Mus musculus: one gene and its partners. The protein of the gene in region 4 purifies or fractionates together with the protein of the main gene of each other region. This does not show direct contact. Links are inferred from orthologs where the notes say so. Each region holds a gene or a part of one and is shown on either strand. Other genes may lie near its edges. The genes, in order: Ehmt1, Zfp644, Chaf1b, Cbx1, Ahdc1, Adnp and Zfp280d.

Region 1 (4,180 bases), on a different chromosome or scaffold from region 4:
TAACCACCCTAACTCCAGTTCCACGGTTTCACTGCCTCCATTGACACCTGACCCGGAAATACAAAATGTAAAACATTCATACACATAACGTTATACATAAAGGCAAAAAATTCGTGCACAAAAAATTAAGTAATTTTAAAAATCTTAATAAAAAGATACATATTAGCCACCCTATTAAGTACAGATTTTGTTTTGGAAGGCCCTCCTGCTATATGATAACATTTTTGCTGAGACAAAAGCCCTATGTGGGGCTGGAGAGATGGCTCAGCCAGTAAGAGCACCCTGCTCTTCTGAAGGTCCTGAGTTCAAATCCCAGAAACCACATGGTGGCTCACAACCATCCATAAGGAGATCTGACTCCCTCTTCTGGAGTGTCTGAAGACAGCTACAGTGTACTTACATATAATAAATAAATAAATCTTTAAAAAAAAAAAAAAAGAAAAAGAAAGCCCTATGTATCAGACACAGTCTGATCCTGTGACTGGGACATACATTTAAACCCAAGAAGTGGAGGAGCCCACACCAACCTGCAAACTAGAGAATAGGAGACACATGAATAAACCTCTCCACTACCTAAGTAGTTCTTAGTGTGAAAAGGTATTGGGGGTTGGGGTAGAGGGAAGATGGGGATTTAGGTAAGTTTCAAGTGTCACCTCTCCTGGGTTAAATCATTCCACAATTTGTGAACCCTAACCAGTAAATATTTCAAGAATCAATGAGGATGAAGCCATGCTGATCCAATTCCACAGTACTGTATAAGAGCTGTGTACTTATAAGTACACCTGTCATGTACTTCAAGGATAACACTTAAAATCACAACTCCACACAGGTATAAGTCATGGTTTTGTAAGCATGGGCTTTGTAGAAACAGCCTGTGTCTTCTAATGCATCAAACCCTTTGTAATCCTGGGGCTATGTGCCTTTTGCCTTGCCTGCAAAGGGATACCAGAGAACCTACTTGGTAAGACTACTGTCATGTTTACAGGCTACAGTATGCACAAAATGCCTACAGTGGGGCTGGGACCAGGCACAAGCTCACCCCACACACAATCTATGTAATTTGCCTGTAAAATCAAAGAAACTGGAGACCACTGACACCCACCCTTTTCTGAGAGTGAGAGGAGCAGGTTTGAAATAAGCTACAACCAGGCTAGCTTTGAACATGCAATCCTCCTGCCTCGGCCTCCAAAGTGCTAGGATAACAAGCAGGCACTACCACACTCAGCTTCTTCAATCAGAATAAACACCAACTATGTGTCTAGCACTGAAAAATGGCAAAGCTGGGGGCTGGGGAGACAGTTCAGCAGTTAAGAGAGCTACTCTGGCTACTCTTCCAAAGGTCCTCAGTTCAATTCCCAGCAACCACGCATTGGCTCACAATCATTTTAATGGGACTGAATGTCCTCTTCTGTCATGCAGGCATACATGCAAATAGAGCACTCGTATACATAAGTCTTTAAAAAGAAAAATAGCCAGGCCTACAACTGATCAAGCAAAGTTACTTAACCCCTGCAAAGTCTTATTGTCTTCATCTCCTAAATAGGAAATAACAATACTTGCTGCACGAGACATTATACAACCTGGATGGGATAACCCCTCAGAGGGGTTTAAACAACACCAGAAACATAAATGCTCGATAAATGATTGAGATTCACTATGTATCTCCTTCCTTACACTCCTGGAAATGACTTAGATTATCTCATATACATTTGTGTTCTTGGTGCCAAAGTCAGTTCTTGAACGTTCCAAGTACTCAACAAATCCTCCTTCCATTAGATCTGAAAACTAGCCATTCACTTATACGAATACCCCTCAAAAAGGCGAGAATGAAGAAAGAAACACAAGGACCATACACTATGAGGTAAAATGTACTGCTAAGCCAATGCACCGTATGTGCTAGCTTCTCAATACACCTTCACTTTCTGAGGTCTGGAAATCCCAAAAGCTAAGTATTCCCTCTGCAAATTTTGGAGAAAAACGTTAGGTTATACTTTCTTCCAAATCGGCCCCGTACTTCGACCCTACGAACACAACTCTAGTGCGTTCTGAGGACCCCGGACTCCTGCCGGCCCTTCCCAGCTCCGGGAAGACAGCGGTCCCTCTCTCCCGGCCATAACGTCTACGCCGCAAAAACCAGGAAGCAAACTATCCCGCAGAAAGAGCAGAGGGAAAGCCACCACGCGAACAAAAGACCGCTAATTCGCCGTCTCCCGCCGCTTTAGTGCCATTGGTGAAGAAATAAACTTGGGTCCGCAGACATTCCTCTGTCGAGCGTGCTGCCCGTGGTCACCCTGCTGCAGCGGCTTTGTGCGCGGGAGGCGCGCGGGACCGGCCAACTTTTCCTTAAAGATGGTGCCACGCTCTCGCGGCGAGTGAAAGGTCACGGAGCGGGGCAGCAGGCGCAGGCCCGCCTCACCTCCGGCGCGCACAAGTTGGCCCGGTCCACTTTGCCTTTTGTCTCCGCCACCCCCGCTCCGACCCGGCCGCGGTCAAGCTCCGGGCTTCGGGATGCGGAGCCGCGGCCTCCTACCGTCCGCCACCGCACTGCCGCCGCCACCACCGCCGCCGCCGCCGCTGCTGCTCGGGCCCGCCGTGCACAAAGCGCTCCGGCGGAGCACGGGCCGGACGCTGGGGCCTCCGCGCAGCCGGGCCCGATGCAGCGGGGGCGCGCGGCCCCACCCAGCTCGTGGTTCGCTTGGGTTCCTGTCCCCTCGCCGCGGCTGTTGCAATCACAGCCGTGGCCTGCAGCCCAGCGCCGACAGCCGGCCCCGCACCTCACCTCAGCATCAGCGGCGGCCATGGCCCGGGCCCGCAGCGTGGCCCCGCCCCTCCCGCGCGCCATCGCCCCGCCCGCGCCTCGCGGCCTAGGTCCGGGGCGGGGCTGGCCGGCCACTCCTGCGCCTGCGTGAGCACCCGCGGCTGCGCACCGGGACCCACCCGTGCGGCGCCTGCGTCTGGAGGCGAGGCCAGGTGGCGCCTGCGCGCTGAAATTCAACCTGGGCTCCTGGAGCTGAGAGGTCACCAAAAGGAGCTGCTCTGTTTCCCGTTTCTTTGGTTTCGCTCTCTCTCATTTACCTGCAGTCCACCAATATTACTTGGAAAGTTTCAGAAATAAGGTATCCCTACGTTTCAAAGTTATGTGCCGTTCTGAGTGAGCCTAGGAAATCGAGTTTCCGCTTGGTTCCGCTGGGTGCTGGCTGACCACCCTTTTGTACCACTTGTTTACACTACGAGCTACTACTGACTTGCTGACTGTCAACGTCCCACTGGGTTTCCACACTATAAACTTGAGTCCTGACAATCCTTATTCTATTTATTAGTGACCCCCAAAATGCAGGGAAGGTGATGAGACCTTACCAAAATCCTAAAGAACCATAAAGTGCTCCCTTTAAGCGGAAAGGCAGAAGATTTCAATAAACAAGGTTTTTTTGTTTTGTTTTTCTTTTGGGTTTTTTTTTTTTTCTTTTTGGTTTTTTTAGAGACAGGGTTTCTCTGTATAATTTTGACTGTTCTGGAACTCACTTTGTAGACCAGGCTGGCCTTGAACTCAGAAATCTGCCTGCCTCTGCCTCCCAAGAGCTGGGATTAAATAAAGGCATGCTCCACCACTGCCGGGCAATAAACAAGTTTGAAACATGGGGTAGCCAAGAGAAGAACGCTAAGAACTCACTTCCGATGAAATTGTAAAAGAAATCTATGCTAGTTCTGCTGTTGAACTTCACATTCCAAAAGTTCCAGCCATAGGGCATAAGTGCTAAAATGGAAAAGAGTTGTATTTGTTGATTAAGGATATGAAAAATGTGTTCCAGTGATGAGCACACATTATGCCAGAAGCATTGAGGCTATAAGAAGACTTCTGAAAGGCAGTACCGTAAAATTTAAAAAGGGGGAGGTATGCCGGGCGGTGGTGGGACGCGCCTTTAATCCCAGCACTTGGGAGGCAAAGGTAGGTGGATTTCTGAGTTCGAGGCCAGCCTGGTCTACAAAGTTCCAGGACAGCCAGGGCTACACAGAGAAACCCTATCTCGAAAACCAAAAAATTTAAAAAAAAAAATTTTTAAAGGGGGCGGTATTAAGGCACAAATTATGGGATGTGTTCCCAAGATGGAACACAGTAGTAAAGTCACCAGCACAGCCAAATACGGTGACATGCACCTCTAACTTAATTCCAGCACTAGGT
Region 2 (4,191 bases), on a different chromosome or scaffold from region 4:
CTTAAAAAGTCACTTAAATAGTAGTGTGAGAGGCCTATGTGTTTATCCAACAAAATGGCATTACCAAGTGAGAGATACTAGCGTGGCCTTCAACATTCCTTGGACTTTCGCAGCAGTAACAGCAATTATCTCCAACTTTCCAAGATTAGTTATCAAGCATGTTCCTTGTTTTTAACTTTTACATTTCTGGGTCATGTCAGTGTTGGAAAGTGCTCAAAATATATACATAAGCAGCACTGCTAAAAATTACATAACATTAAATGTATTGTCTCAGAAGGTCTCACTAATGACACTTTAATTAACGGGTATGCTCAGTAATGCCCCTTGTTTTTAAAACCACTACCAGGTGCTAACAAAACTAGAACTAGGGTAGGAGTTAGAGACCGTCTTCCATCCCAGCATTAACTCGCTCACTACAGGGCTAAGGCCATGAGTAAGAACAGTAGCTCTTGGCCATCTTCCTTTCTAATACTGTATGATCCAGGGGACACATCTGATTGTTAGCATATCTCCTGCCTCCTAATACAAAACTTCTCTGTATTTGAAAGAAAGCTAAGAAACGAGGAAAACTAAAGTTTTAAGTAATGTTAAAAAGTTTAAAGATCTAGCTGGGCGGTGGTGGTGCACGCCTTTGATCCCAGCACTCCAGCACTTGGGAGGCAGAGGCAGGCAGATTTCTGAGTTCGAGGCCAGCCTGGACTACAAAGTGAGTTCCAGGACAGCCAGGGCTATACAGAGAAACCCTGTCTCAGAAAAAAAAAAAAGAAAAAAAAAAAAATTCAAAGATCTAAAGGTGTAATATTCCTTCATGTGATTATATTAATGGCACATACAAGGCACCAGCTCTTTTGGAATTCACACTTCAGTATTACTTGAAATACAATGCATGATGCAAACACAATATAAAGTACTTAAAACTTTTTACAGCCATATTTTCAACAGCAACATACAAACTGCATTAGTACCAGTCAAGCACTCAGGTTTCACCAGTTTAAAGGTCTACACTGAATTATAACTTCAATATAGAATCTCCATTTCTTTCTTACCAAACCTACTGGAAATAAGGTACAGCTGTATAGCTGACACCTAGTTCCCTAGATACTTACACATGGCCCTGAAGCAGGTTTTCTTGATCTGGGGAACTTTAGTTGTTTAGGTTCTGAAACACTTTCCTTCGTGGGGCCAAAATTAACTAAACTACAACACGATTAAGGCAAATCCAACACATCTCCCAGATGCAGTAAACTTGGCATCAGTCAGGACTGGCCACAACACGTGATGGTGTTTGGATACTTCTGTGGAAATTAACTTGTGCACACAACAGGACCAACATCATTTCAGGGCCACAAGCCGTGGGCATCCCCTCGTTGAGTTTTATCACATAAAATTTGAAAGCTAATACGAAAGTTTTATAACAACTACATTTAAGTCAGTATTATTTTAACAGTTGAAGAGAACTTTTCCACTAATGTCGCTAAACCATGGATGGATCCCAACACGAGAGTCGTCTGTGGAAGTCTCGCAACAAGAAACCACCTAAGTTTCCAATCACGGGGAAGGGTCTGGGACAACTCATCTTCATGTTCTCGGGAGGAGTGGACGGAGCACACACCTGCTTTCCTCTGGCAGAGATTAAGCTCCCAGGGACACAAAGGCCAGGGAATCAGACCTGGAGAGGCAAAAAGCTTTAGCTAGATACCCACCAAGCCCCGTGGCCACCCAAACACTTCGAGTGTTTTTTTTTCTTTTTTTTTCTTTTTTTTTTACCTCTTGGAGTTACTTCTCAGGCACTTAGCGGCACAAGATGTTGCAGACCAGTGGGAAGAAGGGGAAGGCTATGCGCTCTGGTCCCAAAGTCAGGGGAGGGGTGTGGACAGTTACCTCCAGGGCCGGGGCTACAGGCCCGGACAGAGTAGCCTAGCCGCGCACGGGGCGCCGCCTGACTGCTCTCGGACCGCCCCCGTTACTCGGGGAGTTACAATGGCGACCGCAGGGCTCCCCGGACCTCCGGGTCTCGGCCCCCTTCCCCCTACCGCTCACTGGCTGCTCCGCTACATGTGACTAAACAAAACCCCCCGAGTCCAGAGCCCGGCTCGGCCCCTTTGTGTCCGCCACCGGATCCGCCGCCGCCGCAGCGGAAAGGCACCCCCCGCCCCGCGCGCCCGCCTCCGAGTCCCGCCCCGCGGCGGCCGCCGCCGCTCACCTAAGGTTCCGCGGCCCCCCGCGACCGCCGCCTCCCGGACCCCGCGGCCCGGGCTCCTTGTGCAGCAGCAACTCCGCCTCCTCGGCAGCAGCCGCCATCTTAGCCTGTGCGGCAAAACGCGTCCTTTCCGAGGGTTGGGAGCCAGCCTAGGGCGTAGCTCCCCGGGCCCGAGCGCCGCGGGCCGGGTCCCCCCACAACTTCTTCCGCCACCCTCAGTCCCGCCACCGCCTCAGCCCGGACGTCCGAAACGCGGCCGGGGCCGGGGCTAATCCGACCGAATAAGACCCCCGAAACTCACAGTTTGGTGCCGTGTGCGTCAAACCGGGGCGACGTTGGGAGCGCGCGGCGTCCCCGCGTCACACGCCGCTCTGTACGCTACTCGGCTCCAACGGCCCCCTCCGCTCCCCGCTTCTCGCCTCCGGCCTCGGTTCCCACGGCGCAGGCGCGCGGCTTTCCCGCCTCTGCCTGGCCGCCGGCCGCCGGGGGAAGCCAGCGAGGCGCGCCCGTGCTCTCGGGCCGCCGGAGCTCCCGTGCCAATCAGACCCACGGGGGGCGGCAGCAACGCTGCACCGCTGCTCTCCCGTGCCAAAACCAAACAAGGTCACCTCCCCCAGCGGTGACCTAACCACTCCGGAGGAGGTTCCCGCCCCAAAGTAGGCACGCTCCAAATATGGTGGCGACCAAACTCTGCAAGACCCAAGTACCAGGAATGCCTAGGCCCTTTAAGGTGGAATAGGCCCATCTCTGGTGTCTGCAATCGCTAGTTTGCCAAAAACCTGTTCCCTTTTCCAGCTGTTGAAAGAACCAGCAACATATATCAGGCCTACCTTGGAGAACTGGCACAGACAGGTTTTATGATGTTAAACAGGCCAGGTGGCAAAAGCATCAGGTATAGAAATTCAGTTACCCAGACAAGACACCCAAAAAGAAGGCCCGGATTTGGGTTCCTTGGACTCTGCAAGGGCAGATTCTGCACTAAGGAACATGCCTTGATTGTCCAAATTGGAGTCATGCAAAGAGACGTCAGAAATGCTGGTTAACTCTTCAGGTAATCAATAGATTCCCCAGAGGGTCTTCTAAATCTCCCTTTTAACAAGCATTCAGCCATGGGCTTCTGAGGGAAGCAGCGCACTAATTAGAGGTATTCGCTTTGCTTTTGAACCGAGTCAACAAGTTCCTAACCTGTTGAAGGTGAGCTAAACGTTCTAGAATACTCTGATGGGCCTGCCTTACTAAATTCTTTGGTTTCGCTGAACTTTTTCTCATGAAAAACTTTAAAACGTTTTTTAGTAGTTAAGCAGTAATCATGAACTATGCACCTCCAAGCCTTCGAGATATTATTAACATTCACAGGAATACACCATAATTACATTTATTTGTCAAGAATGGGAGTATCTTTCCTGAAAAACGGTGCCTTCAGAAGCAGCAAATGTATCCCAAAGAACGAACATTTCACTATCCACTCTAATTATTTCGCTTGCTAGTAACTGCTGACAACTAGAGTTCATGCTGTGTGTGTGTCAGGCATTCTTGTCACCTGTTCAAGTTCATTACAACCTAAAGTGGCAAAGAGAGATTAGACTGTTGAGCTGTTTCAAAATGAAAGCTTTCCTTCATATATACGAATAGATAGATACACAACAAATAAATCTGTGTCCATTTTCAGCCAACTGCTTGGAGGAGATGCACTTTAGAGACTTATTCTCATCTCATGAGTTTGGGTTTTGCTTGAATGTATGGCTGTGCACCGCATGCTTCATGCCTGGTACCACAGAGTCCAAATGAGCCTCAGGAAGGACCTGAAACTGGAGCTGCAAATGACAGGCCATCATGTGGAAATATCACAAGGGACCTGATCCTGAGTCCCCAGCAAGCACATAAGGTACTCTTGGCCAGTGAGCCATGTCTCCTGACCCACCAGGTCTGTTAACCTGCAGAACTCAAAGGCCTATCACCTGGAACCAAGCCTTGCATACTTCAGGGCACAT
Region 3 (3,500 bases), on a different chromosome or scaffold from region 4:
TGCACGTGCACACATACATACATAGTTAAGGCTCCATAACTGTGTTTCCCTTTGGTCTGGGGAAGCTCTGTGCTGCTGTCTCCTCTGCTGAGGGCCTTTGTTAGCCTGCTCAGCTCAGGCCTCGCCCAACCATCCTTCAGTTTCTGTGACCTAACTTGTCACTCTTTCTCCTCTCATATTTTCCCAACTCTGGTTTGTTTGTTTGCCTTGAAGCTCTTTGTAACCAAGGCTGGCCTTGAACCCTGGATACCCCCTACCTCCTCTTCACCTGGTGTGCACCACCAGGTCTGGCTTCAGCTCGCTCTTTGAAGCGCAGATCGTTTCCCAGCTAGCTGGTCTTGGCCTGCTCTTTGCCTACAGAGCTCTCTGACTGCAGTACCTCTCTTTCCTTCCATCTTGTTTCTGAGTCCTCCCTTTCATCTCAGCAGTTCAATGCTGCCACCATCCAGGGTCTAAGCTGCGAGTGAGGGATTCTCCTGTGCATGTCATCCCTCCCACCCCCGTCCTACCTTCTCAGGGTTGCTATTGTGAGGAGACACCATGCCCAAGGCACCTCTTATAATGGACAACATTTAATTGGGGCTGGCTTACAGTTCAGAGGTTCAGTCTGTTATCATCATGGCGGGAAGCCTGGCAGCGTACAGGCAGACATGGTGCTGGAGAGGGAGCTGAGAGTTCTACCTCTGGATCCTCAGGCAGCAGGGAGTGAACCTAGACACACTTCCTCCAACGAGACCACGCCTACTTTAACATGGCCACACCTCCTGGTAGTACCAACTCCCTTGGAGCATGTGGGGCCATTTTCTTTCAAACCACCATACTAGCCAACCCAGAGAACTAAACTGAGGGCTCTGATATTGCTCCTAATTTCTCGAACCCACACAGCCTCATGCTTGCTCTACATCCTGGCTGCCTTGAGTGCTGCAGGGGTGGGGGTGGGGCTGTGTGGAGTGATCTTTGGGTCCCCTGAGTCTGACTCGGCTTCTCTGAGGTTGCTTGCAGAGTGGCAGACAGGACGTAGGAGACAGTGCCAACATTGTGGTTCCTGCAGCGTGCTTCCTGGAAATCTTGATAATAACTTTCTCGTGCTTCTTTGTAGGGCAGAAAATTTCCATTTTCAACGAGCATAAAAGTTATGTGCAAGGAGTCACCTGGGATCCTTTGGGTCAATATATTGCGACCCTGAGCTGTGACAGGTTCGTAAGTAACATGAACGTGTTTTGCAAATGTTTTATCGCAACCTTACTAAGGGATCGATAGTCCAGCTTTGGCTTTTTTGTTTGGATCTGCTATTCTGACAAGACAGGAATTAGAGACGAATTAGGCCAGGTGCCCTGTGCAGACCTGGCACCAGTGAATCTTTACCGGATGGGTGAATTGATGTAGAAAGAACTCTTATGTTTGCCTGCATGTATGTCTTTGTACCAGGTGTGTGCCTGGTGCTCTTGGAGGCCAGAAGAGGGCATTGGGTTCCCTGGGGCTGGAGTTACAGTTGGGAGCTGTCAGTGCTGGGAACAGACTGGGCTTCCCTACAAGAGCAGTGCATGCTCATAGCCACTGGTGCATCTGTCCGCCCCGTTAGGAAGAGCTTTAGCATCAAATAAACTGAATCACACTTGACTCAAGGGGACAAGCCGCAGACTCGCAGTAGGTTGTTACTGTGTGAGACCCAGTTCCCGTGCTGGGATGGGACTCAGACTGCTCTTTCTTCAGGGTGCTGCGGATCTATAATACCCAGAAAAAGCGTGTGGCTTTCAACATTTCAAAGATGCTCTCTGGACAGGGGCCTGAAGGAGAGGTAGGAAGTACTTATCATTTTTTCATGGGTGTGTGTTTTGTGTGTGTGTGTGTGTGTGTGTGTGTGTGCCCACACGAGTATGCCTTTGGCATGTGTGTATGCATGCATATGTATGTGTGATATTCACGTTTGGGCACATGTGTGAGTGTGTGTGCAAGAATATGTGTGTGTGTTAAGAGTGCAAGTACGCATACAGGAACATGCACACACGTGTTACAGTGTGCTTCTGAAGGTCGGGAGTCAGTTCCCTTAGTGCACTGTATGGGTCCTGGGAACTCAGATCAACAGGCTTGGTAACAAGTGCCTTTTACCCTCCGAGCCATTCAGCAGCCCAGCATAAAATATCTCGCCCTTTGAGATCTGGTGAGTCTTGGGGTTGTCCTTCCTTGCCTCTGAATCACGGCACTTGCCCGACCTGCTGGCCAACTGATGAGGCTTCTCCTTGGACTGCCTTGTTGGCGTGCCAGTTCTAAGTGGTGAGCCTCTGTGGAGGGTTAGAGGCTTTCAGGTGATTTCAAGCTCTGTTACCACAGGCAAGAAGTTTCCGGATGTTTCACGACGACAGCATGAAGTCGTTCTTCCGAAGACTCAGCTTTACTCCAGATGGATCTTTGCTCCTCACTCCAGGTGTGCCTGACGGCATGTGACATAGGGGTGTGATGGCACCACAGGGACGGCTCTGTTCACTTCAGCTCCTGCAGGTGTGAGCGGAGTGGTGGTGCAAGCCTTGTACCAACCGACTACTGCATGCCATTTGTTCTGAGTCATGGTCTCGCGTAGCTCAGGCTGGTGCTGAACTCGGGTAGCTGAAGGTGATCCTCAACTTGTGATCCTCTTATCCCAGTTTCCTGAATGCTGGGATCACAGGTGTGCAGCCCAGGCCTGGCTGGGAATGTAAAACTTCCATATGGTAAAGGTGTAGCAGACTAAGTCAGTAGACACATGGTGGAAGCGCCACCTGGTGCCTTTGATACAATGTATCCTATACCTCGGCCCTCTCACTTGGCAAGAAAACAAAACACAAAAGATGAAAACCTGAAAGAAAAACTGAGGACTTAGATGAAGCTCATTAGTCAGGTGTGTCCAAGGTGTGTAAGGCTTTGGGGTCAACCCTTAGCACCACAGATAGACCAATGAGTGAAAGCAAGGTATAGATTACATCCAGGACAGGTTCTGATACCCGCCAACAGGCAAATGCAGAACTGAACTGTGTGGCAACTTAGATGTTGCTATTCTGTTCAGGTTGAAAAAAAAAGCAACAGTTCCCATTATAGCTGAGCAGAAGGTGGGTGTTGCCGCTTGGGAACGTGGCTTGTTTAGAATGCAGCCTGATAACGCCATCCAGTCCTATGCCTCACAGCTGAGACACAATTCCTTAGCAAGGAAATCAGGAATTTCTCAGTGAATCTGTCAGCTACACGTGGTAGCATTTTGCTATACTCCAACACTTGGCAGGTGGAGGTGGGAGAAGACCCAGGCCAACCTTGGTTCTGTAGTGAGTTCAAGACCAGCCTGATATGTGTGAGACCCTGGCTCAGACAAACAAATTAAAACCAAACCAATAAAATCAGTCAATCTCTCCACCCAAAACCCAAATCCCTCAAACTCCCAGATCAGCTTCTTGGCAGAGGACTGGTTTTCTGCTAGTAAATATTACAGAGTGACCAAAGCAGGGGGCCGTAGCACTGCAGAGACTGACTTT
Region 4 (4,153 bases):
ATGACCCCCACCCCCAAAGTTGTTCCTGATCTCCATAAGTATGCAATGGCACACCCCACCCCCCACTTAAAAAAAAAAAAAACAGGAAAAAGGTGGGGGGGACACCTGGAGAGATGGCTCAGTGGTTAAGAGCACCAACTGCTCTTCCAGAGGTCCTGAGTACAATTTCCAGCAACCACATGGTGGCTCAAAACCATCTGTAATGGAATCCAATGCCCTCTCCTGGTGTTTTTTGAATGTTTATGTAATGCACTCACATACATTCAATAAATAAGTCTTAAAAGAAAGAAAAATCGTAGTGGAGAGATGGCTCAGCGGTTAAGAGCACTGACTGCTCTTCCGAAGGTCCTGAGTTCAAATTTCAGCAACCACATGGTGGCTCATAACCATATGTAATGAGATCTGATGCCCTCTCCTGGTGTGTCTGAAGACAGCTATAGTGTACTTATATAATAAATAAATCTTTTTAAAAAGAAAAGAAAAAAAAAATCAAGCCACTGCCTGACACACAATAGTTTTTTTCCCCTTTCCCTTTTTCTTTTTAAAAGGATCTATCTATCTATCTATCTAATGTACATGGGTACACTGTAGCAGTACAGATAGATGTGAGCATGCATGTGATTGCTTGGAATTGAATTTTAGGATCTCTGCTTGCTTTAGCCAACCTGACTTGCTCCTGCCCAAAGATTTACTTATTATTATAAATAAGTACATGGTAGATGTCTTCAGATGCACCAGAAGAGGGTGTCAGATCCGATTACAGGTGGTTGTGAGCCACCATGTGGTTGCTGGGAATTGAACTCAGGACCTTCGGAAGAGCGGTCAGTGCTCTTAACCGCTGAGCCATCTCTCCAACCCTCCTCTACTTTTCTTAACTGCTCAGAAAAATACCTAGAAGGGAAGGTTTAAATAATCTATCATAAAGCTATTGATAAAAAGTTGAACAAACAGAAACCAGAAATGATCTTTCACTGCCCAGATCTTAAGAAGCAAAGCCTCCTTCCTCCTAGGTCTTGAACTCCTGCTGCTCCAGGCTCCACCTCCCGAGTGCTGGCTGGGATTACAGGAGTGCATGCAGCAAGGCCTAACTGGGCTCTTTTCAACACACCACTTCCCAGATATGCCTAGAGAGCATCCAGGAAGTGTATAGGCACCAATTTCTTGATTGTAGCCATACATCTACCAGAAAACCTTAGGTCTTTTGAAACTATTCCAAAAAGCTGACATGATTCTTAACACAAAACTGGAGAGGTTACCCTATGTTCTAGCATAACTCATTTTTCAAAAAACCTTTTTATGGTATTGGAACATAACTCAGTGGTAGATAACTTACATGTGTGCAAGGTCCTCAGTACCACACACCGAAATGAGTTCTATATTTCTATACTGCTTTTTAAATAAAAATATTCTCGCTGCCGGTGGGCATGCACCTGCTTTCGAGGGTCCCTGCCATTTCCCTAATTTGTAGCTCAGAGGGCAATTCTGTGAAGTCTGCTCGCTCTTTCCACCTTTACCTGGATCCTGAGAGGTAAACTGAGGCCCCCAGGCTTACGCACAAAGAACAGATCTCTTTCATTGGATGAGTCTTGCCTTACACGTGTTCTTCCACAGCCTCCCAACTCACACTGAAGACCCATTACAAGGCACAAAGTGGCCTTTTCACCCTTTCTTGACTCCCCTGGTGGCCAGGCAAGGCTTTAAACTCCTGATCGTCCTGTTTCCGCTCCCAAGGGCTACATGAATGCCATCAAGCCCAGCCCGAATTTATAAGGTACAGAGGATTGAATTCAGGCCTGTGCAGTGGGCTAGGCAAACATTCTACCAACTAAGTTACATCCCCAGGGACCCTTTATTTTCTTCCACATTTGACCAGTCACTCTAGACTTCTACCCTACCTATCCCAGCAACTCCACTTTTAGACAAGGTCAAGAAAATGCCTGACCCCCCACCCCCACCCCTAGACGGATTCAACAAATCTCTTCCCCGCTAGCACACCGTGAGCTGCCCAAATCCTCCTGTTCAAGTTTATTGGAAGTTACTTCTTCTTAACTCTGGCAAGAGAAACTTCTCTGATAGTGGCAACTGGACCCAATATCCTCAGGTTACTTTTTCTCTCTTTCCTCCAAGTGCTACGGGGGTTGCTTGCGATTGCCACCGTGTCCGCTTTCTCAGGTTACATTTCTAAACCTCGAGAGTACGAAGTCGTGGTCCCTGCCACGCACACCCAAAAGCACCTGTCCCCCTTATGGACGTCCCAAAGTTTTCTTTCTCCCGCCCAACTCTAGAGTCCCTCACTCGGGTCAAACGCTCTTGGTCCAGTTCTTGAAAAGCTAACCCTCCGCTGGCTCCGCTCATCGCGAACCACTCGGCTCCCGGGCTCTGGATTCGCTGCCCCGCCCTCTCCACACTCCCGCAACCCGCGAGCTCTGCGCGGGAAGCGGACCCGGCGGGCGCTGGGCCGGGGCGCGCCCCCCATTCCTCGGTCTCCGCTCTTCCGTTAGCGGCCCGCGCTGGTCCGCGGCCTCCCGCCGTTGCCGCGTCCCCTCCCCCCACACACCCCGCCTCCAGCCCGCCTCTTCACCTCGTAGCAGCGCCCGAGAGTCCGAGAGGAATCGGTGCCGCGCTACTCGCGCGTTGCGTCGGGCGGTCCGAGGGGAGTAGCGCGCCCAGAGGAGCAAAGAGCCGTGTGGCCACAAGTCGACCGTCCCGCTGAAGCGGCGTACCGCAGGCCCCGCTAACGGCCCTCCCCTCAGCCGAACAAAAGAGCCTCTCACTCTGCGCGGCCCGCCGCCTGCACTGCGCAGACGCGACGACCCGCCGCAGGGCACCTTGGGATTAAGAGTCGGCCAGAAACTACAGATCCCAAAGTACCGCGCGAATCCCGCGCCGCCCACCTCCACTTTCAAGGATTGTAGGGAGTTTTCGTAGTTTTGTTTTCTTTTTTGACTGGAAAGGCGAAGTCGACTGTTACTTAGAACATAACTCTACAGTCTAGGAAATTGATGGGTAGTGGTGGGGTTTGTTTGTTTAATAACAGGATACGCAGCCCAGGTGGCTTCGAACTCGTGGCCTTTCTTTTTGCTTCAAATGTCAAAGTGCTGGATTCCAGGCGCGTGCTGGTATTCCTTACTCAGTCTACAAAAGTAGGACACTGCAGGTTTGGAAACTAGCCCGTTGATGTTTGGTCCGTTTGCGTTTAAAAGAAAAATATTGTATTCGTCACCTGAGATTTATCAAATCACCTTCAATAATGTCCAGCAATCTTACCTATTATTGCCACCTGACTGGGGTTCCTACCTCTCAGTTTGAATCACTGCTCCATTCAGAAAGCAGTAGATTAACCGTCTAGGTAGACACCATCGACACTTTCTGAATTTGCTTTTTTTCTTTCCCCTTCCTTCCCTCTCTATTCTTGTTTTATTTTTGGTTGTTGGTTCTGTTGAGTGGACAGGGTCTCAAGGAAGTCTGATCTACCTGTTTTCACTTCCCAAATGCCGAGTATTACAAACACAGACCACCACATTCAAAGTTTTCCCTTTATTGCCCTTGCCGGTGGGTGACTTTCATGGGGATTTCTCCATCTCTGTGAACATCCTTTATCAAGTTAGTCTAAAGAAACGGAATTAAGCAAAAACCACGGCTGGGCTGTCATTCTTTAACACGGGTGCTACTCTGATTCAGGTAGGTTGCTGCTAATTGTTGAACTAGGAACTCCAGTAAGGACAGACGCTTCATATGACTCATTGTGTCCACGACACTCAGGATCCTTGGTGTTTGTTTCTAGCAAGGACAAGGTCATTTTGGTTGTTTGTTTGTTTGGTTGGTTGGTTGGTTTGTTTTTGTTTGTTTTTTTGAGACAGGGTTTCTCTCAAAACTCAGTTTGTAGACCAGGCTGGCCTCAAACTCAGAAATCGGCCTGCCTCTGCCTCGAGTGCTGGGATTAAAGTTGTGCGCCACCACGCCCGGCCACAAGGTCACGTTTTGACTCTCAGTATTTATTGGTAAAAATTCCTTGAATATGTGATTAAGTGAATAACTGAGATGTCCAACTGATAATAGAACTGATCAAACTTTCCAAGGCCAGATTCAAGCCTCTTAATCCTAGTACCCGGGATTGAGACAGGAGGATTGCTGGGAGTTTAAGAGCACTTTA
Region 5 (3,500 bases), on a different chromosome or scaffold from region 4:
AGCGGGCTGCCTTGGCTGCGTGGCCTCCACCCCTACCTCCAAAGCCTCCTGTTTTGCCTCCACGCCTCCGGAAGCCCTGCACACGATGCAGGAACTGAGAGATGCTCTGAGTGTCCGGGGCCTGGTGCACGGACTCAGGCTCACTGGGTGTCCAGCAGCGGGGTGGCGAGCACCTCCCAGCACACTGACTCTGGCGGTTCAAAAAGGCCAGCTTGGCGAGGACATCAGAATATTCAGCCTTACTGTCATTGGCGTCTGCTGCATACGATGGCTGCGGAGACGCCAGCTTCTGTTTCCGTCGCCGGCGTTTCTTCACCTCAGGCATGGCCATGGTGGCCGCTGTCACAGTAGCAGCCTCAGCAGCTACCACTGTCGGCTCTTTGGGCTTCCCGGGACCCAGCAGCAGGTTCTTGGGAGGGCGGCCACGCTTGCGCTTGAGAATGATGGGCATCTCACCTGGCGGGAAGACGACCACCACATTCCGCCCGTTGTTCTTCATCTTCAGCAGTGGGGTGGGCTCTGACGACACCCTCAAGCCCAGCTCCTTGCCCTCCACACTCAGACTGCTGCTCAAGGATGAAACTTTGTACGTGGTCTTGTTCCTCCGCCCCAGTGACACGGGGATCTTGGCCATCTTCACCACCATGCGCCGCACACCCCTGCACTTGCCTTTGCGGGTGGGGACCATCGGGGTTTGAGAAGACTCTGGCTCCAGCTCGGGAACTGGGCCTGGGCCTGACAGAGTAGGAGGTGGTGGCGGTGGCAGCGGTGGGGGCTCGGCCAGGGCAGCTGCCAGCCCTGTAGGCATGGGAAGAGGAAGCAGGCGACCCTCAGGTCCTGAGTCCGCCTTCCGGCCCCTTCCGGCTTTCCGCCTGCGACACAGGATCTTTGGCCTATCAGTGCGCCTCAAGGCGTACTTGGGGTGGCCCTCAGGCCCAGGGGGACCATGAGGTGAGCACAAGTCCAGGCGTAAGGGCTCAGCCAGTTGGCAGTGGCCCAAGGATTGCTGGGGCTCTAGACGTCGACCGGGGACATCCAGCAACTTGGGCAGGGGGTCCAGGGCCTGAGGGTCAAGGAGCTGGGATTCCAAGGAATCAGGTAGGGTATCTAGGGCCTGCAGGGTCAGGCTCGGCAGCCCCAGGGGATCAGCAAGGGGCTGCAGGGGTGGTAGCTCCAAACCTTCTCCTAGAGGCTCTAGTGCCTGTGGATCTAGGAAGCGGGGCTGGGGGTCCAGAAGCTGCGGCTCAGGCTGTGGTGAAGGCGGCTCAAGGGCTTGAGCCTCCAGGAGCTGGGCCTCAGGGCAAGTGAGGGAGGCCAGTTCACTGAGGATGTCGGCATCTGCCAGCTCAGAGTAATCAGGCCCATCTGGCTCGGGCTCGGGGGGCAGACCAGTGGCTGTGGCCGCGGCTCCAGGACCATGGCCTTGGCCAGGCTGGGGACTATCCCTGGGCTCGGGCTCAGGTTCATAGAGAGGGTGGCTGGGCCGCTCTGACTTGGTGTGAGGGTTAGCACGCTCCTCGGGGCTGCGGATGCTGTTGGCCAGGCTGGGCGAAGAGAAGAAGCTGTACTGCAAGTCGCCGGGTGGCGGAGCGGGTGGGCGGCTCAGCCGAAGCCCTCCACAGTCCAGATGCACACCGCTGTGCTGCAGGTCCTGCGACAGCCTTGTCAAGTCCTTCATGATGTCAATCAGCTGCACTACTGGACGCAGGTTCACACGCCCGTTGTCCCAGTGGCGGAGGGAGCTGTTGTCTGGAGCCGGTGAGGGACAATGGGCCTGGGAGACAGGCCGGGCTGCCCGAGGAGGTAGCAGGTCGTCTCCCTTGGCAAGGACTGGTGGACGGCGGGAGCTGGGGTCCCGCCGAGGGGGTGGGCGTGGGTTCTCAGAGAAGGTATGGGTGGAAAAGGCCTTGTCAGGTGGGCTGGCAGGGGGCCGGGTGGGAAGCAAGGGCCGGGGGGTTGGGGGGCCGCCGGGGTAGTACTTGGGCTCTCGGAGGTAGTCAGGAGAGCTGCACACGGCACTGGAAGTCACCACCAGGCCCTGGGGCTTCACACGCATCCTGACCTTGTCCTCCTCGGGCCGCCGGGCGGGGCCAGGGCTGACATGAGGGTGCGAGAAGCCGGGACCAGAACCTGCCAAGGAAAGAGAGGCAAGAGTTCTTCACCTAGCATTCACATCCTTAGGGGCCCTTGAACCTTTCTGGTCTTCTGTCATGTGTACATACTGAACTCCTCATGGGCCTCAGCACCCAGGGGCAACTGACCCACTTCTATAGGCTATGGGGTTAGAGATGACAAGATCCCCATATCTTGGCGAGGGAGACCTGGTAGCAGGGCAAGATGACCACTCCACATAACACTAGACACAAAACTGAAGAAGGTTGGGAAGACCCATTCACCACGATGCCGCTCCTCCTCACCCTTGCTCCTCAGGCTGTACTCACCCTCGGCTCTGCCGCCTGGGCCGTCACACTGGTTATCTCTGTGGGCAACAAGACATGATCAGAGCTCAATTCCCCGAATGGTTCAGGATCCACACTAACCCTGCTACCCAGACACAGCCCCACAGCTTTCCAGATGCCACCCCAGCTCCCTCAGGGCTTCCTCCTGACTGACCTGGTAAACAGAGGGCCCCCGTGCTTGGGGACTCTGCCAGTCGATGGCTGTCAGCTGGGGGTGTTGTGGAGCAACTTCGGCCTGAGCCCAGGCCTTGGGGTGTGGACAGCGCCTGGAAAGGACCACCGTAGCTCAGGTTTAGTGAGCACCTACTGCACGCCAGGCACTGGGCTGGAAGCTGTCCAGGCATTGCTTCATTTGATTCTTCATACCAATCCTGTGAGGTAGGGGCTATTAATAACCCCATTTTGCAGATGAAGAAATGGAGGCTCAGACATGAACTAATATCATTCACTCATTGGTTCATTCATTCACATGTTCACTATTTATGGAATATCTACTTTGTACAAGGCCTTGATAGTCAGACATTGAACAGGCAAAGCCCTACCTGACTTAGGAATCGGTGAATTAAGCAAGAGGTGCATAGACAAGTGAAGAAAGTGCCTGGGACCAAGGGCCTGGGAGTCACCAGGAAGGTGACTATAAAGGCTTTGGGACACTTTACTGCTGCCAGCACCAAGCACTTTAATGGATTATCTCATCTAACCTCCCTGCCATTCACAGATCAATTATCCTGCCCATCTTTAAAGAAGCCATCCAGTAAGGGTTCCAAGCCCCAGGAAGGCAAGCCTATCTGCCCCGTCGCTTGCTGAATCAAGCTCTGTGAGTCTGCAACAGCTCTGCAGTGAACAGGGGCTGCTGCAGGCATGGGCCACCATGTCTGGCTCTCATCAAGTTTTTTTTTTTTTTTATTCTTTTCTAGATCCAACAATGACGCCGAGGGAGAAACAGTGGCAAGAATATAGAAAGGGGCCTTTTCTTGCGCCCCTCAACCTTCCTTAGTCTATGAAGTTCTGCCTTTCCTACTGCCCACATCCAGCCCAGTC
Region 6 (3,928 bases), on a different chromosome or scaffold from region 4:
TAAGGCTTTCAGATGCTGAGCAAGTCTTGAGATAGACTACTTAAAACTTTATGTCCAAAAGTGCAGAATGCAAATGATTACAACAACATCATCGACTTTAAATTTTTCTCTTAAAAGAGACACATATTTTAAACGTTCAAAACCCATTACTGCAACCAGCTCTAACGAGTTCCTTGAGGAATGTGGCGAGGCTGAAATTTTGAAAGTTCATGTTCTGGTGGTGATCAGGAGGAAGTCTCTAGCTTTCCTGATGCTGCAGTCCCCACCCTCCAAAATGATATACCCACCGGTGTGAATTGACAATGCAGTCCAAAGAGCAAGGCAGGGAACGGAGTCCAGATCCTCAAAATGGCAGTACAGGGAATAACCACTAGGCCACCTATCAGTTCAGTACAAAAAGTGCAACCCTGTGCATCACGATGTAAAAGCTGGGGCCTAGGTTTCGTACTGTGCATCTCACACCTATGGAAATAACAACAGGAGTAAAATCTACAGAAATCCACACACCCTAAAAAGGTGGGTGCGCACCGAACCAAGACTGGTGTCAACACTTGCAAAGGCAGTTGGCTACAGACAGTGTACTGCTGAAAGTGGAAGGCAACACAATTTTGCAGTGAACTCTATTAAGTTTGACAATGAAGAACTCAATAGGGACCTGATGTTTACCAACAAAGCCTTGCAAATCCTGACACCCATCTTTCATGGCTGTCAAAATCACCAACCCATAAAACCTCTCAAGAATGACTTTCCACTCGCAAAAGAGTCGGAGAGATTTGGATTGACCTGATCTCCCAAGCCCGTGACTTTCAGGTTTTAAACAACCCCCTTTACCACCTAGCCTAGGAAAGAGATGTCAACACATCAAACCTTAAGGTGAAGGAATTCTTGAGAAAGGGAACCTATGACCCAAGGATGTGCACCAAGGTGACTGATCAGCAATCAAAGTCTGAGGGTGAACAGGTTTGAAAAAGTAAAAAAAGACAACTTTCCAAACGGAGAAGTGGCTTTCTTAAATAAAATCTCTCTAGCCTCACTTAATCCTTCGCCATGTTGCTGTCAGCTCACCCAGTGCAAGTCTTGCTGGACCCATTTTCCCATGGTCTGTAGAAGGCGCTGTTTAGCACATCCTGTTCTAGTTCTGGGGCCCTTCCCCCCTCTGCAGCCTTACCCAGTGCAGGGAATGCGCCCCCTACTGACTCCCACACTCAGTGCCTTTAACCGACTTGGCTGCAGTGCCTTTTGGGTGGGGGCTGGTATTTTCTCCATGACCATAAACCAGAAGCAACAATGCAGATTTATAAAGAAACTGCACAAAGCTATCCAAGAGACACCCCCCGACACACATCCCATTGTGAAGGTTCAAGATACAGGCACAAGAAGCATCAGGGATGGGAACTGGGCGTTTGGGGCTGGACAGCATTAAAATGGCTAACACAGGAAACAGTTTGGTTCTTTTTCCCTCCTAAGCCTTTGTCTGTGAAATGGGGTTATGACAAGAACTGTCCAGAGGACCTGGTGACTGGAAGAACACTGAGAAGACACTTGGGGTGTGTGGCAGGGAGTGAGACTAAAATGAGTATTAGACTTCTTGGAGAGAAGAAGAGAAGCAATCGCGCCTTTTCTAGCAGACAGGCATCCAGGTTGGGGGTAGGGTGGGGAAGGGAGGAGAAGGACAGGCAGCTCAGAGGAAAGAAGAGGCGAATAAGAGGGTGCTCAAAGAACTACTCCCCATTCATTGCATTCGAAAAAAATTCTTTCCGCGGCTTTCTGGATTTCCATTTTCTGACTGCAAAGTTGATCAGAAAGCTCTAAAGAGGGAGTGCTGACCAGGTAGCCCAGATTGAAAGCAGGGCCGGTGAGGGGCTGTGGTGGTTAGGATGGGAGGGAAACTGGCATGTTGTTGGGGAGGCAAAGACTTTCACCCTCTGCCATGCACGCTCCCCGCCCCCCAGGCCTTTCCCCCCTTTCCAAGCCTAGGGTGGGCAGACCTGGCAGAAGGCTGGTTCCGGGGACTGGGGGAGGGCGGGAGGGGATTAGTTCTGAGGACGAGAGAGCGAGCGGGGTTCGGCTGGGGGCGGGGTGGGTGCGGGAAGATGCCACTAGCCGCAAAAGCCCATGGTGGCCGGCCGGCAGCCCCGCGGGGCGGAGAAGGGGATCGGGCTGCAGGAGGGCTGCGGCCGACTGGGGTTCGAGGCGGTGTGTGCACGCCGAGCACAATGACCGCGCCCGGGATCGGCGGCGGGCAGGGCCGCGGGGCTTACCTTGGCTCGGCCTCGAGGCGTGCGCGGGGCCGGCGTGCTCTAGAGCACGGCGGCGGGTGGACGGCGGCACGGCGATGGCGGCGAGGACGCGCCCGGGGCCTCGTCGCGCTCGGGCTCCGGCTCGAGCCGCGGCCGCGGCTGCTGCCGGGGGGCGCGGCGGGCGCAGCAGAGCGGCGGGCGGCGGCGCGGGCAGTGCAGACAAAGGAGGGGCGGAGGGCGGCGGAGGGCGTGGGGCCGCGGCTTCACCGTCGCGGGCGGGCAGGCGGGCGGCGACGGCCGCGCGGCTCCTCGGCGGCGGAGACCGAGAGAGGGAGCTGTGGCTGAGGCGACGCCAAATCCCCCCCGAGCGAGCGCGGCTGGAGGGGGAGGGGGCCAAGATGGCGGCGGGCGGGCGCTCAGCTCATGGGTCCCGGCGGCGGCGGGTAGACCGGACGGGTGGCGGCGGCGGCGGCGGGCGGGGGAGGGGGCTGGTCCCGCGTCTCCCCTCAGCAGACAATACAAGCGCCTCAGAGCAAGTCCCCGAACCTGCCCTAGCCAAAATGGCGGCCGAGAAAGAGCGGAAGTGACGTAAGCGACTCATTAGCATAAGAGGACTCATTGTCCAGCTGGGGGGGGGCGGGGGCCATGGACCCCCTACTCGGCGACCCCCCCCCAAGGGAGAGCTCTTCGGTCCTCGGCTGCGGCGACACCCACTTTCCTTATGGCAGGGTGGCCCCAGCCCCCCCCAGCCTCTCCTGGGTGAGATTATATAATCCCCACTGAGGGGAGCTCTCGCGAGAACGTGGAGGCTTTGCCATTGCCCCACTAGGAGGCGCCGTGGATAATGGCCGCACTGCGCTCCTGGGTGCCTTCCTCTGACCGCAGCGCCGCCGGCGGAGGCAGAAGTAGCGGGCCGCAGCACGCCTCGACAGTCAGTCAGGTGGCTGCACTGGGGATCCCTGCGCGGGCCCATCTGGGCCTGAACTACATCTGGCAGGAGGGCGCCTGGGGCTGCCCAAGGCCCACGTGCTCAGAGTCAGCTCTCCCAAGCTGGAGGCAAAGCCAAGGGTTGAGCCTGCTGCCTCCTGCCTTTAATGAGGTGTGATGCCCTCGTGTTCCTCCCATTTTTTGAGATGACACAGCTCTGAGGCCATGTCAGCTCTTCTAGTGAACTGGTATGGGATAGACAGGGACTCAGCTTTTCACTTCTGCTGTTCCTTGGACTCAAGTCATTCCTTCAAGTCATCAGATGGCCACTTACCATTGACTCAAGGAAAAAAAAAGTGGGATTTGTAGAGTTGAGGCCATTGGATTGTCAATGGCTAAGGATGAAAACGGTCTGGCACTCACCCACAATTCTGGTATGTGACAGCACCTGCACTGTTGGCTTTGTAACTTTGGATCATCCCCAACCAACATACCATGTCAACATCAACAGCCTCGGTCCACTTTAAAGGAACAGTAGTTACCCTACCGTAGATAAGGATGGCTAAAAGCTCTACAAAGTAGCAAGTGCAGTTGTGAAGGATTGGCCACCCCTCCCCCAACATGAGGTCTCTACAAAGTTGCAAATTTTGAAAGAATCAGACTATATATACAGACAGCTCAGTGTCTAAGGGTTTGGTTGGGAAGTTGAACAAACTTCCACCTAACATTTATTTTTTGCAATTATTAGAACATATATTTAA
Region 7 (3,500 bases), on a different chromosome or scaffold from region 4:
TAGATGGCAAAAATAAAACAAACACCACCAATATATTTCACTATACATGAAAATTATATAGAATTTAAAATTTGAAATCCATATAGTAGAACACAGATACATCCTTGCAGTCCTTTACTGCCATTGCTGACTTGCCACAACGGAGAGTTGACTAGCTGTGATAGAGACTGTAGTATCTCTAATATGAAATGCTTACTGTTTGGTCCTAACAAAAAAAACCAAAAACCCTGCTACAAATCCTAACACCAAAACAACAACAGTTAATGACACTATAAAACATGACGTACCTGGCAGATGTATGGCATTTCACCAGGCTTATGGTTATCCTTCATATGTTGTAAGAGAATCTGTTCAGTTTCAAATGATAGCTCACAGATCTTACAAATGGCTATAGATGAAAGGAAGAGTTATTACAACATTTTAATATATAAATAATAAAAGCTCATTTGGATAACAGTGTCAACAAATTTGTCAGCAGAAGTGGCAGTATTAGAGGTGGTAAGCAGCCATACATATACACATGCATAACTCAGTCAATTCCTCTTTTAGCACTACCACAAAGGCATGTCTGTTATCCTATTGTCTCAGTACCAAATAACCTGCCTGAACTTATGTAGCTACTACACCAAGACAAACATCTGGGATTTGAACTGAAGCCTGAAGTAAGTTAGCTTTTGTAATTTTGGCCCCAAAATCCAAAGTCTATTTCTTGTTCTTATTTCTGTAACAGTTTTCTCAAGATTTGCTGAGCTTCCTTAATCCTGAGAAGTAACTCACTGGAGAACTCATGAGGAGTGTGGGTGCTCTCGATGTGGCACTGGAGCTGGAAGGGCGTGGGGAACTGCCGGTAGCAGTGCTGGCACGTGGTGTGCTTCTCCCAGCTCTCGCTGCTCTGCTTCTCGAGCTCCAAATGGTGCTTCATGTGGTTCATAAACCTGCAAATGGCAACAGGCGGAGAGATTCAAATTAAAAAATCAAAGAAGATCCCACCATATCTTAACCCACTATTTAAAAAAAAAAAAGTGAATTATTACTCAAAACCTAGAGTCCTTCTCTAGGAAACTGCATGTCCTAAATAATGACCACAAATGGCTAAGTAGATACTTTTTTCCATCTTTGTTTCAAATGTCACTACTTTCAGATGATTGTTTTTAGATAAAATAACTCTCCTTTGCCATGTGAAGTACTATTTATATTTTAAAATTCAATATTGAAAGAAAGAAAATCCTGTCAGCAAAAGTAGCTAGAGTCATGGGAGAAATTCTTTGAGACCCTGAAGATATACAATAAATTCTAGCTACTAGTATTCTTACCTGTATCTTTGTTTTGAAGTACATATAATAACAGTTTTAATGCCTACAAGTACAAGGAACTTTTCATTTATTTAGTGATATTGTTTATAGTAAGCATAAACTGTTCATTTTAACTTGCAGACTGTGCCCTTTGTAAGGCAACATCCATTTTTCAGTTTTACACTTTGCTATTTCAGCATCCCTACAAGGTTTCTTATCAACAGAACTATGACCTTTGTAAGTGTGGTATAAATGGGAATATATCTATTTTTAAAAGCTTACTAAAGCTTTTGGCTGAAATAAAAAGTAGTATTACTTGATCAAAAGAAAATTTAGACTGGGCCAATAAAATTAATAAATATCATCCAGTTGGAGGCTTCAAAGGAAATAAGCATGAAACTATATGAAAATGTTATCAATCCAGAGAACAGACACCATGAAAGCTATGACATCTATCTCTTCTTTTTCCTGTCTCTGAAGAACAGTATCTCCTCAACACAAATTGTAATACACTTTGAAGGATCTTTATTTTGCCTTTGGGGTTTTTTGTTTGTTTGTTTGTTTTTTGGTTTTTCAAGACAGGATTTCTCTGTGTAGCCCTGGCTGTCCTCAAACTCAGAAATTTGCCTGTCTCTGCCTCCCAAGTGCTGGGATTAAAGGTGTGCACCACAATGCCTGGCTCCCCTTTGGTTTTAACATGAGCTCTACAAAACACTTAAAAACCTAGTCTTGGTTAAATATTTGCATATAGGCAAAACAGCATGAGCTAGTAAATTCTGAGCTCAGCCCTTAAAGCACTAAAGTATAATTATATAAAGTAATGTATTAACTAACTAGTTGATTTCTCTCAATGTTTACATAAGACCTAACTGGAATGCATAGTTCCCAAGACAATATATGGTAACTTCTTACAATGATCTGTTTTTAGTGATACCCAATGGGGGAGAAAGCAGTAACTAAAAACCTGTATGAGAAATCAAATGGAAATCTTGATATGTTTTGTACCATTATACAAATTATAAACAACTGCAAGGCCAGGAATACTTGCACATACTAGCAATTCAGGATCAAAGAAGGTAGATCTCTTGGTTTTGTTTGGGCCTGCCAAGTCTATACAATGAAATCTTATCTCAAAAACAAAAGCAAAATAACAAAAAAAAATTTGCCTTCCCAAATTTTACTGACAAAACACTCTATCTTTAATTCCTTTGTCACAAGGTATTTACTATACCATTAAGGGTACATTTCCCAAGTAAAAGCTTTCAATGTTCAGTTTATGTTACTAAAAGTCATATGTTTAAATTTTCTAAATATTCTAATATAAACAAATGGAATTAATGTCCTAAAATAATTCCTAGAAAAAGTTATTTTTCATGTCTAATATTAAATGGGCTAATCGTAAAAGTAAAAGACAAACAACACTTTTGCTAAAATAAATTGCAGAATGTATACTTAACAAGGAAGTTAACAAAGACAGTGAAACCCACTTGTACACATTTAACCTTTCCCTGACTGAATCTTGTAACAATAAGAATATGGGACTAGGTGGTGGAGGTCAATTTCAATGCTGCTTCAGTATTACATCCCAAACACAAAATACTGGGAGCATTAGTTCTTGAAGGAGTGAAATAGTTTAAGAGCTCTGGAATGCACAAAGAGGCCTGTGAGCATCATGTTAGCAGCAGCCACACGAGACAGAAGTGAGTAAACTCAGGGGCCCAAGAGGATAACTGCTGGTCTACAAAATGCTAATTTGGAAAGTTCTTTTAGTATCTATAAAAGATATACATGTGTATTTGTGTACAGTATCTTCTTTTAATTTGTCTTTTTGGAGATCAAGTTTTCTATGTTTTAAATATATTCTCACCCTCTCCCCAAACTTGACCCACATCCACTCCTAAAGTACAACTTATCTAAAATAAGTATACTCATGCATGTAACTTATTTTGAAATATACATTTAAAAATAATCAGTTTTTATCAATAGCTTAATTAATTTATAAAACTCAGATTGTTTAAAGGAGAAAGACAAACAGTGAAACAAGTAAAGAGGGGCGGGGAGAAGCAAGGGGGCAAGGTCAAACTTTCAGTTTTGTGATGAATGTTTGAAAGTTTTTACGAAGGGTAGAAAAGTCTTGTCTAATAAAATATAAATTCTAGGCTATAAAATAAAAAAAAAACCATCATCCAGTAGTCTTCTTACAGGTGA

Evidence for each region.
Region 1: the proteins of Cbx1 (region 4) and Ehmt1 purify together in Homo sapiens (affinity purification with mass spectrometry; 3 studies listed by BioGRID and IntAct, with this or other methods). This does not show direct contact. The link is inferred for Mus musculus from reciprocal best matches to the Homo sapiens genes CBX1 and EHMT1.
Region 2: the proteins of Cbx1 (region 4) and Zfp644 purify together in Homo sapiens (affinity purification with mass spectrometry; 3 studies listed by BioGRID and IntAct, with this or other methods). This does not show direct contact. The link is inferred for Mus musculus from reciprocal best matches to the Homo sapiens genes CBX1 and ZNF644.
Region 3: the proteins of Cbx1 (region 4) and Chaf1b purify together in Homo sapiens (affinity purification with mass spectrometry; 4 studies listed by BioGRID and IntAct, with this or other methods). This does not show direct contact. The link is inferred for Mus musculus from reciprocal best matches to the Homo sapiens genes CBX1 and CHAF1B.
Region 5: the proteins of Cbx1 (region 4) and Ahdc1 purify together in Homo sapiens (affinity purification with mass spectrometry; 4 studies listed by BioGRID and IntAct, with this or other methods). This does not show direct contact. The link is inferred for Mus musculus from reciprocal best matches to the Homo sapiens genes CBX1 and AHDC1.
Region 6: the proteins of Cbx1 (region 4) and Adnp purify together in Homo sapiens (affinity purification with mass spectrometry; 6 studies listed by BioGRID and IntAct, with this or other methods). This does not show direct contact. The link is inferred for Mus musculus from reciprocal best matches to the Homo sapiens genes CBX1 and ADNP.
Region 7: the proteins of Cbx1 (region 4) and Zfp280d purify together in Homo sapiens (affinity purification with mass spectrometry; 4 studies listed by BioGRID and IntAct, with this or other methods). This does not show direct contact. The link is inferred for Mus musculus from reciprocal best matches to the Homo sapiens genes CBX1 and ZNF280D.

What each region holds. Positions count from the first base shown.
Region 1 is NC_000068.7:24,916,775-24,920,954, forward strand, and holds the start of Ehmt1 (histone-lysine N-methyltransferase EHMT1), read right to left. Parts: upstream 2,801-4,180; coding exon 2,780-2,800; intron 2,753-2,779; exon of another isoform or gene 2,417-2,752; intron 1-2,416. UniProt on the Homo sapiens protein: Histone methyltransferase that specifically mono- and dimethylates 'Lys-9' of histone H3 (H3K9me1 and H3K9me2, respectively) in euchromatin.
Region 2 is NC_000071.6:106,694,031-106,698,221, forward strand, and holds the start of Zfp644 (zinc finger protein 644), read right to left. Parts: upstream 2,801-4,191; 5' UTR 2,502-2,800; exon of another isoform or gene 2,204-2,501; intron 2,189-2,203; exon of another isoform or gene 1,768-2,188; intron 1,670-1,767; 5' UTR 1,613-1,669; exon of another isoform or gene 1,107-1,612; intron 1-1,106.
Region 3 is NC_000082.6:93,890,401-93,893,900, forward strand, and holds part of Chaf1b (chromatin assembly factor 1 subunit B), read left to right. Parts: intron 1-1,099; coding exon 1,100-1,196; intron 1,197-1,713; coding exon 1,714-1,798; intron 1,799-2,331; coding exon 2,332-2,425; exon of another isoform or gene 2,426-2,499; intron 2,500-3,500. UniProt on the Homo sapiens protein: Acts as a component of the histone chaperone complex chromatin assembly factor 1 (CAF-1), which assembles histone octamers onto DNA during replication and repair.
Region 4 is NC_000077.6:96,787,782-96,791,934, reverse strand, and holds the start of Cbx1 (chromobox protein homolog 1), read right to left. Parts: upstream 2,801-4,153; 5' UTR 2,582-2,800; intron 1-2,581. UniProt on the Homo sapiens protein: Component of heterochromatin. Recognizes and binds histone H3 tails methylated at 'Lys-9', leading to epigenetic repression. Interaction with lamin B receptor (LBR) can contribute to the association of the heterochromatin with the inner nuclear membrane.
Region 5 is NC_000070.6:133,060,006-133,063,505, reverse strand, and holds part of Ahdc1 (AT-hook DNA-binding motif-containing protein 1), read right to left. Parts: intron 2,845-3,500; 5' UTR 2,614-2,844; intron 2,480-2,613; 5' UTR 2,442-2,479; intron 2,131-2,441; 5' UTR 2,057-2,130; coding exon 1-2,056. UniProt on the Homo sapiens protein: Transcription factor required for the proper patterning of the epidermis, which plays a key role in early epithelial morphogenesis. Directly binds promoter and enhancer regions and acts by maintaining local enhancer-promoter chromatin architecture.
Region 6 is NC_000068.7:168,204,313-168,208,240, forward strand, and holds the start of Adnp (activity-dependent neuroprotector homeobox protein), read right to left. Parts: upstream 2,801-3,928; 5' UTR 2,262-2,800; intron 463-2,261; exon of another isoform or gene 288-462; intron 1-287.
Region 7 is NC_000075.6:72,319,888-72,323,387, reverse strand, and holds part of Zfp280d (zinc finger protein 280D), read right to left. Parts: intron 936-3,500; coding exon 778-935; intron 389-777; coding exon 288-388; intron 1-287. UniProt on the Homo sapiens protein: May function as a transcription factor.